Coturnix japonica: one gene and its partner. The protein of the gene in region 2 interacts with the protein of the main gene of each other region in a biochemical or structural test. Links are inferred from orthologs where the notes say so. Each region holds a gene or a part of one and is shown on either strand. Other genes may lie near its edges.

Region 1 (3,649 bases), on a different chromosome or scaffold from region 2:
TGAAAGTACATCTGTAGCTCTCAGTAGAAGTGGATCATAGATCACACCCAGGCACCTGACCTCCAATCACCTGCACTGCTGAGCTCCTGTCTTGGTATTGACCATCCTCACTGAACTTTATCCCAAACACTTTTCTTCCCAAGATGCCTGGCACAGTGCAGTATGGTCAGCAGCACATTCATTCATCACGTAGTATGGATGCAGTCTAGATGTCTTGGCAGGAGTGCAGGAACGTAATACTGCAATTCTACACAAGCATCCTTCGGTATAAACTTCTGATTCTTGCTTTGAAATTTTCAGCTGCAAAGTAATATAGCACAGGGTCCAGGCAGCTGTTGGTGGCAGCAAGGCAGAGTGAGACCACCTGTGCTTTGTGCACGAACAGATTGGCTGGGCTGCAGCCACCGAGCACTAGGTAGACTGTCCGCAGTACGTGGTACGGAAGGAAACACAGAAAGAAGAGGATGAGAGTGATGATGATGGTTGACAGTGCTTTCTTGTGACAGACTGCCTTCTTGCGCTGGGGTGTCTTGGACTTGAGCAGCGCTCTGATGGCAAAGATGTAGCAGATGATAATTGTGCAAAAAGGCAAGATGAAGCCCACAGCAAGGACAAAGCTGTTCATCATGAGGAGCCTGTGCGTGCTGCTGGGGTGGAGGTCCAAGCACTTGGCTGGGTTTTTGTACCCGGCAATTACTTTGCTCAGCAGAGGACTGGAGGCTGCCAGAACGAAGACCCATATCACTGCACACATTATCTTGGCATACTTCATGTTACTTACTTTCCAGCTCTTGAATGGGTAGACGATGGCCATGAAACGAACCACACTGAGCACGGTGAGAAAATAAATGCTGCAGTACATGTTCACATACATGGTGTACGTCATGATCCTGCAGAGGATATCACCAAACACCCACTGTGATCCTAACAGATAATAGGTGGCCCGGAAGGGCAAAGTGCTCACAAACATGAGATCCGAAACTGCCAAGTTCTGCATGTAGATGTTTACTGAGGTCTTCCTCTGGGAAGGCTGGAGGAAAACATATATGGAGAGGCTATTTCCAACACTGCCCAGGAAGAAGATTAAGAGGTACGCAATGGGATAAATGACTTGCTTGAAGGCATCCGTGCTACAGGTGAATGAGCTGTTAGTGGAGCTGTCATTTAGCGTCATCTCAGAAAAATTCATTGTCTGGAGTGGGAGCTCTCTGCCTTTCTGCAAAAGTATAAAGAAGTAAAGTGAGTGCAGAGCTGCAGCCTCTTCAGGGAGATCAGTGCTAGGACTGTTTCACATGGCAGAAATGAGAAGACACGTTGGAAATTAAAGCTTCCTGAATGACTAATCACTGTGATGTCTCTGTAAATGAACACACCAGCTCTAAATGGTTTCAGTATTACAGCAGCTGGTTTGTTGTTTTTTTTTTTGTTATTTGTTTTTTGTTTGTTTTTTGTTTTTGTCTCAAATTATGAGAGAACTGTCTTTTAGAAGTGGATGTTATGCATTCATTTTAATGGCAATTCCCCGGCCTTCTCAAAGCAAAATAAGCCAACTTGACATTGGCCATTTTGCAGCAGGAGGTTATGAGTTCCTGGATACCACCCATGGAACCTTCAAAAACTGATCAGTAAAAGAAGTCATCATCCACCAGTAAGTCTGAGCTTCAAATTAGGATGGAAAGTCAAAGTAACTGTATTTGCCAATATGAACCAGCCTAATCTTCCTAGAACGATATCTGCTGTTGACAGCACGTCACTCAATATGCCTGAGTGATAGCAAGAACACACTGATGTACTTCAATGTGTATAAATTAATGATGTTTTGATCTGAAACACTATAAATACTGTTCTCATTCAAGGTTCTTTTTTAACTCCCTCCCCCTCATACTGTATTTCTTCTTTCCTCTAGTTAGTTTCCTAGGTCTCTATTTGTGGGGTCTTTTCTTCATTCACTACTTTTCCAGCCTTTTGTGTGCTCATTTCTTTCATCAGACATTCATCTATATGGCAGCCTGAATTAGCAGCCCTAATAAAAATGGCCTGTGGAAAACAGGCTATTTCCATAGAAAGTGATATTTTCACTCCCACAAGGCTATATTTCAATCAAATCAAAACAACCGGTCAATAAAACACTCTAAATAGTATACACATTTTTTTTTTCTTTTTAATGTACTTGCTAAACTCCTGATTTTTTTCTCTCTGATGATCTGTAAGTAGTAGTATTTTAAAATCATAGAATTATAGAATACCCTGAAATTGAAGGGATCTGTAAATGTAATCAAGTCCAACTCCTAAAGGGAGGTCTCTGGTTCTGCTACTTGTTTAACAATGGGACAGAAATGCCCTCTCTGCAACTGCCAGCACATCCCAGAAACGCACTGAAAAAATTTAGCCTAAAAAGCAGAACAATATGAAATTTCCAAGTGCATGAAAAAAGTTTTAATACATCCCAGTGAGAAAGATAAGGGCCTAGTGGTATATGCTTGCAGGTTATGTCTTTTTTTTTGGACCTCACAGGCTTCATAATTTTGAATAAAGTTATTTGTGTTCTTGGAATTTCACTACGGGGAAAGCTTGGGCACCTTGGACTACCACTTACACACTATAGCACTGGCAACACTGCTGTAAATGGAAATTAATTTGTGCACTCAGATACTTTTCTGTGGTACAAGAGCTGCTCTATGTTGAGGGCAGCCAGTGACCTCTTCAGGGCTCTGTGTCGGAGTACAGATCCCTTAATACAGCAACCAGATGTGCCCCAGAAGTTATTTTTTGTGGCCAAACAGAGCATGGGAAATGGAGCCTGCCCAGGCTGGGCTCCTAAGAAGCAGAGCTTATCCCCTGTAGCAGGATGGGAATGCGGCAGTTTGGGCTTGGGGAACAGGGGCTTTCACTAACAACAATAATGTGACCATCCCTGCAGGGCTTGAAACCATCCCTCCAAGAAACAAGGACAATAATGTCTATAAAGTGTAGGAGTGCTGAAGACTGGAACTTGGCAAACTGAACACTCGTTCCCCCCTAAAGAAAATCTCCTCCTTATTTGAAAGTCTCTTCGCCAGTGTAGAGGATAGGCAACGTAAGCTTCCCAACAAAACAATTGCAGTCCAAGGAGATCTCATAGAATCATAGAATCACAAATGGCTTGGCTTGGAAGGGACCTAATAAATCACCTAATTGCAAGCCCCTTGCCATGGGCAGGGTTGCCACCCACCAGGTCAGGCTCTTCTCAAGGCTCAATCCAACCTAGTTTTAGTACCCAGTACAAAGTTACTGTCTGACATCAAAGTTTTCTGTGTGGGATCAGGAAACATCTCTTCTTCTAATGGAAGTTGGCCCCCCTGTTTTACAGGGAGTCATCACAGATTGATGTACTTCAAAGAGAAGAGACTTTTGATGGTGCGTTGCTATTAGGGCAAGAGAGAGAGCACATCTGCAGAGCAAAGGAAAGGGTGGCTTTCCTGAAATAACTGCTGTGTAAAGTATATCAGTGGGAGCCTCTGTGCCATGCTGCTGGCTTGATAGTAGTGATAGTGTAGGATATACAGGTGAAGGAGTGGCACTGTGCAGGAAGGACTGTGTAACTAGCAATTGCATACAAATATTATGACTGAAAGTCCTTGTGGACAGTCATTCCATCTTCTCATAATGA
Region 2 (3,674 bases):
AGCAGAGGACATTAAGGTACCCACAGGGTGTACATAAGCAGGGCACCCCGCTGCCCCCATACCTTCCAGCACCACCTCTTTGCCCGTTTTCTTCAGTGCCTGCACCGCCTCGTCGTGAGTGGCTTCGGATAAGTCAGTGCCATTCACGGACAGGATGGCATCTCCCACATACAGTGCCTCGGTCTGGTCTGCTGCCAGTCCCTTGAAGATCTTGGAGATGAGGATGGGCATCTTGTTCTCCCGGCCACCTGCGGGCAGAAGGGGCACCAAGCAGTGAGGGGACACTGAGCAATTAGGGGCACAGGGCTGCTCAGTGCCCACACAGTGCCCAAATACCTCAGAGCTTTATGGCAGACACATGTTAAGTGCTTCAAAAAACCATCCGAGTGGCTGCAGATTTCCTTGCTGAACAAACACACGCCCTGACCGCCTCCCCATCACTTCTGGCAGGAAACTGTGTCACTATTTGCATTATTAACTGTGTGTGCTGAGCAGCCTTCCCTGCTCTCAGGACCCCACGGTCTCAGTGGGGCAGCAGCTGAGTGCTGGAGAGGCAAAAGAGCCCCAGAGCAGCAGCTCAGCCGCAGGACTACCTGCTCCCCACTCCTCTCTGTCTCCATTCGGGCTGCTCCCCACTCTTCAGCCCACCAGGACACTCTCAAGGCCTCCGGGCAGCTCAAGGAGATCAATTTGCACTTTAAGTTCTGAACCTGTAGGAGATGCCAGCAGCCCCGCCTGGCGCTGCCCACGCTCAGCGCTGGGACAGCGTGTGCCGGGCACCCCCTCACTCCCCCCTACCCCCCTCCCACGGGCAGGGACCGGCAGCGTGACACCTCCCAGGGCTGCACCCGCTGTGCCGCCAGCATTGCTCCGCTCGGATTTCTGCAGAGCCTCTCCGGGAGCTGAGGGCTCCTCCGGCTATCAGCTGTCAAGAGGCCCCCGCGGGGGCTGCTGCTGGCTGCCGAGCCCAGCTTGGAAGCAACGCCTCGCAACCACCCATTCTGGGCTGTGTGCGTGGAGAGGGAACCACCGCCCGGAGCACCATGCGGTACACGACCCTGCAGGAGAAGGATCCTAACCCTAACCCTAACGATGCTAACCCTAACCCTGCAGGGCTGCATGAAGCACCAGAAACCCCAAGTGAAGTACTGTCTGGGGTTAGGATGCAGCTGAAATGCTTTAACCAGAAGGTCCATTTTAGATTCTGTCCCACGGGCCATGGACAGGAGCTGGCTGGCAGCGGGGTACCCGTCCCTCCATGCCCCCACCCCCTGCAGGGACAGCAAGGTTTGGCTGCGTTTAATGGCACATGGTCACCCCCCTGCAAAGCAGCAGAGGCACAAGGCAGCCCAAGTGCTGCCCGCCCGCCTGCAGCTCCCCGTTTGGATCACGGCTCCTTGGTTTCCACCTACGTCACTGCAAAAATAAAGTTTAGCTGAAGCAAGTAACGTTTCTCCTTTCCTGGGAGAGCCGCAGAGCCGGCAGCGCTTCGCAGCCCGGGGTTGGTTACAAGGGGGGATTGCACCTCCCAAAAGCGCTGCCGAGCTGCAGCACCCACAGCCCCAACAAGCGGTGAGGGCTCACCCCGGACCCCTCACGGGGACCCGCACCCGACACACCGCCCCACCCAGCAGCGCCCGGCAAGGAGCGCGGTGAAGGCTGAGCCCAATGCGGCCACGTCAGACAGCGGCAGCCCCCCGCACCCCCCCTCGCGAAGTTCCCGGCCCGAAGTTCCCGCAAAGTCCCCAGGACGGGGGTGGGGGCGGCGGGGGACACCGGGGGACACCCGACCGGGGCAGAGCGCTGCGTTTGGGGCGGCCAGGAGGGGACACCGCACCGGGGTCACGCAGGACGCAAGGACACGCGGGCGGAGCCCTCCGGTCGCAGCAGGGCAGCGTAGGTCCTACCTGCCGCCGCCGCCGCCCACTCCTGGTACTCCCCCCCCCTCACCTTTGATGCTGATGCCGAGCCCCCCCACGTCCTGTTTGACGACGCGCACCGTGCGCCTGATGTTGGCGAGCGCCTCGGGCACGCCGGAGCTCTGCTCCCCTCCGTTCAGCTGAGCCGGCGGAGGCTCCCCGGGCCCGGGGCCGTCGGCGGGGCTGACGCTCAGGGTGTCATCGCTCAGGGTGAGCAGGACGCGAAGCCACTGTCCGCCGGGACCGCGCAGCTCCAGCAGCCCGCTGCGCGCCCCTCGCCTGCCCGCCGCCATCTTCCGCGCATGCCGGGCCCGGCCCCGCCGCTCCGGCAGCTCCGCTCCGCGCTGCCCCGCGCACCGCCCGGCGGAGCAACGAGCCCCGCGCACCGCCCCCGGCCCGGCCCACGCCCGCCCCGTCGGGGCAGCGCCGCGCTGCGGGGCTCCGTGCCCGAGTATGGGACGGGGAGCGCCGGGAGGGGCATGGGGAGCTCTGCACACCCTCACTCGGACCCTCCCGGCTCCGGGCACCGCGGTGCGGTTGTGTCACAGGGGGACCCTGCGGGGCACGTCGGGGCGCAGCGGTGTCCGTGCCGAGAACCGGGTGCCACGAAAGCTTCGGGCGTGCTGCGGGGTACACGAGTAACTGCTGTCGTGGAAGCGAGCAGCGCTGTCAGGCAGAGCCAGAAGTGACTCGAAGCGAACTCTGGACTTATTAAGGAAAACTGCGATGATGAAAAGCAATGGCAGCTCTTGGGGGCGGTGGGGGGCAGCCTCAAGAGCTCTCCCACTGGCGTCCGACGACGTCGGTGCCCCAAAGATGGGTGCAGACAGCAGCAGGGAGGATTTTTGGAGGCATTCAGAACAGTCTTGCTTTTTTTCTTTCCTTTCCCTGTCCTGCTTCTTGAAAACAGGAACGGTGTTTGTTTCCTTTGGCAGATCCGCATTTCCTCCTGCAACCGAGTGGCAGCAATGAGGGATAAAAAATACCTCTGGGTACATCCCCTGTGCCCCTTCGGGCAGCTCCAGAGCCCTGGGGTGGGGCTGCAGGTCCCCAAGCCCCAGGCTCTGCAAACGCAGCCTTAAAGGAATTGAATCCCGTTCACGCACAAGGGGAGGTGGGGGGGGTATTGCAGAGCAGGGGGCTGCAGCCCTCCCCACCCCCACACGGAGGCAGCAGCGCTCCCCCCACGCAGAGGCAGCTGTGGAATTTCTTGAGATTGCGGCAGAGGAAACCCTGAAGGTTTTTCCCTTGCAAAGCACAGCTCAGATATTCCAGTTTTCAATCCAAATTCTGCAGTTCGATTGGAGTGACTTTTTGGGTTTGCCTAACAGTGATGCTCCCACGCCCATCACACCCCCCCCTCCCCCCCCCCAGTCCTCTGTGCATCCCACAGACCCTGAGCTGCTGTGCCCATAGCAGAGGGGGTTCAGTCCTTTTGCTGCCAGTTGGGGTCACTTTGCCCCTTGCCACTCGCAGTCTTTTTTCTTTCCAATGCTATTTCCAGCACAGGTGATTATTAAGGCTGTATTCTCATTGTAAGCCACGTCAGAAAGCAGAGACACTGCTCCCAGTGCCACAGGATGGCACCATCCAGGGATATGTGATATGTTTGCTTCCCCAGCCCTGGCAGCACTATGCAAAGCAGCAGTGGGAAGCAGAGCAGTGCCACACAGGGGGAAACCTTGTGCCATGCCACACTGCTGGGCAGCAAGGCCATGTGTGCAGCCCCACATCATGGCACAGAGGTGCTGCAGT

What was found.
Region 1: the proteins of SNTA1 (region 2) and CYSLTR2 interact in a test that uses a peptide from one of them, tested with the Homo sapiens proteins (2 studies listed by IntAct, with this or other methods). The link is inferred for Coturnix japonica from reciprocal best matches to the Homo sapiens genes SNTA1 and CYSLTR2.

The regions. Positions count from the first base shown.
Region 1 is NC_029516.1:151,149,633-151,153,281, reverse strand, and holds part of CYSLTR2 (cysteinyl leukotriene receptor 2), read right to left. Parts: intron 1,217-3,649; 5' UTR 1,190-1,216; coding exon 248-1,189; 3' UTR 1-247. UniProt on the Homo sapiens protein: Receptor for cysteinyl leukotrienes. The response is mediated via a G-protein that activates a phosphatidylinositol-calcium second messenger system.
Region 2 is NC_029535.1:2,063,753-2,067,426, reverse strand, and holds the start of SNTA1 (alpha-1-syntrophin), read right to left. Parts: upstream 2,944-3,674; 5' UTR 2,213-2,943; coding exon 1,951-2,212; intron 249-1,950; coding exon 63-248; intron 1-62. UniProt on the Homo sapiens protein: Adapter protein that binds to and probably organizes the subcellular localization of a variety of membrane proteins. May link various receptors to the actin cytoskeleton and the extracellular matrix via the dystrophin glycoprotein complex.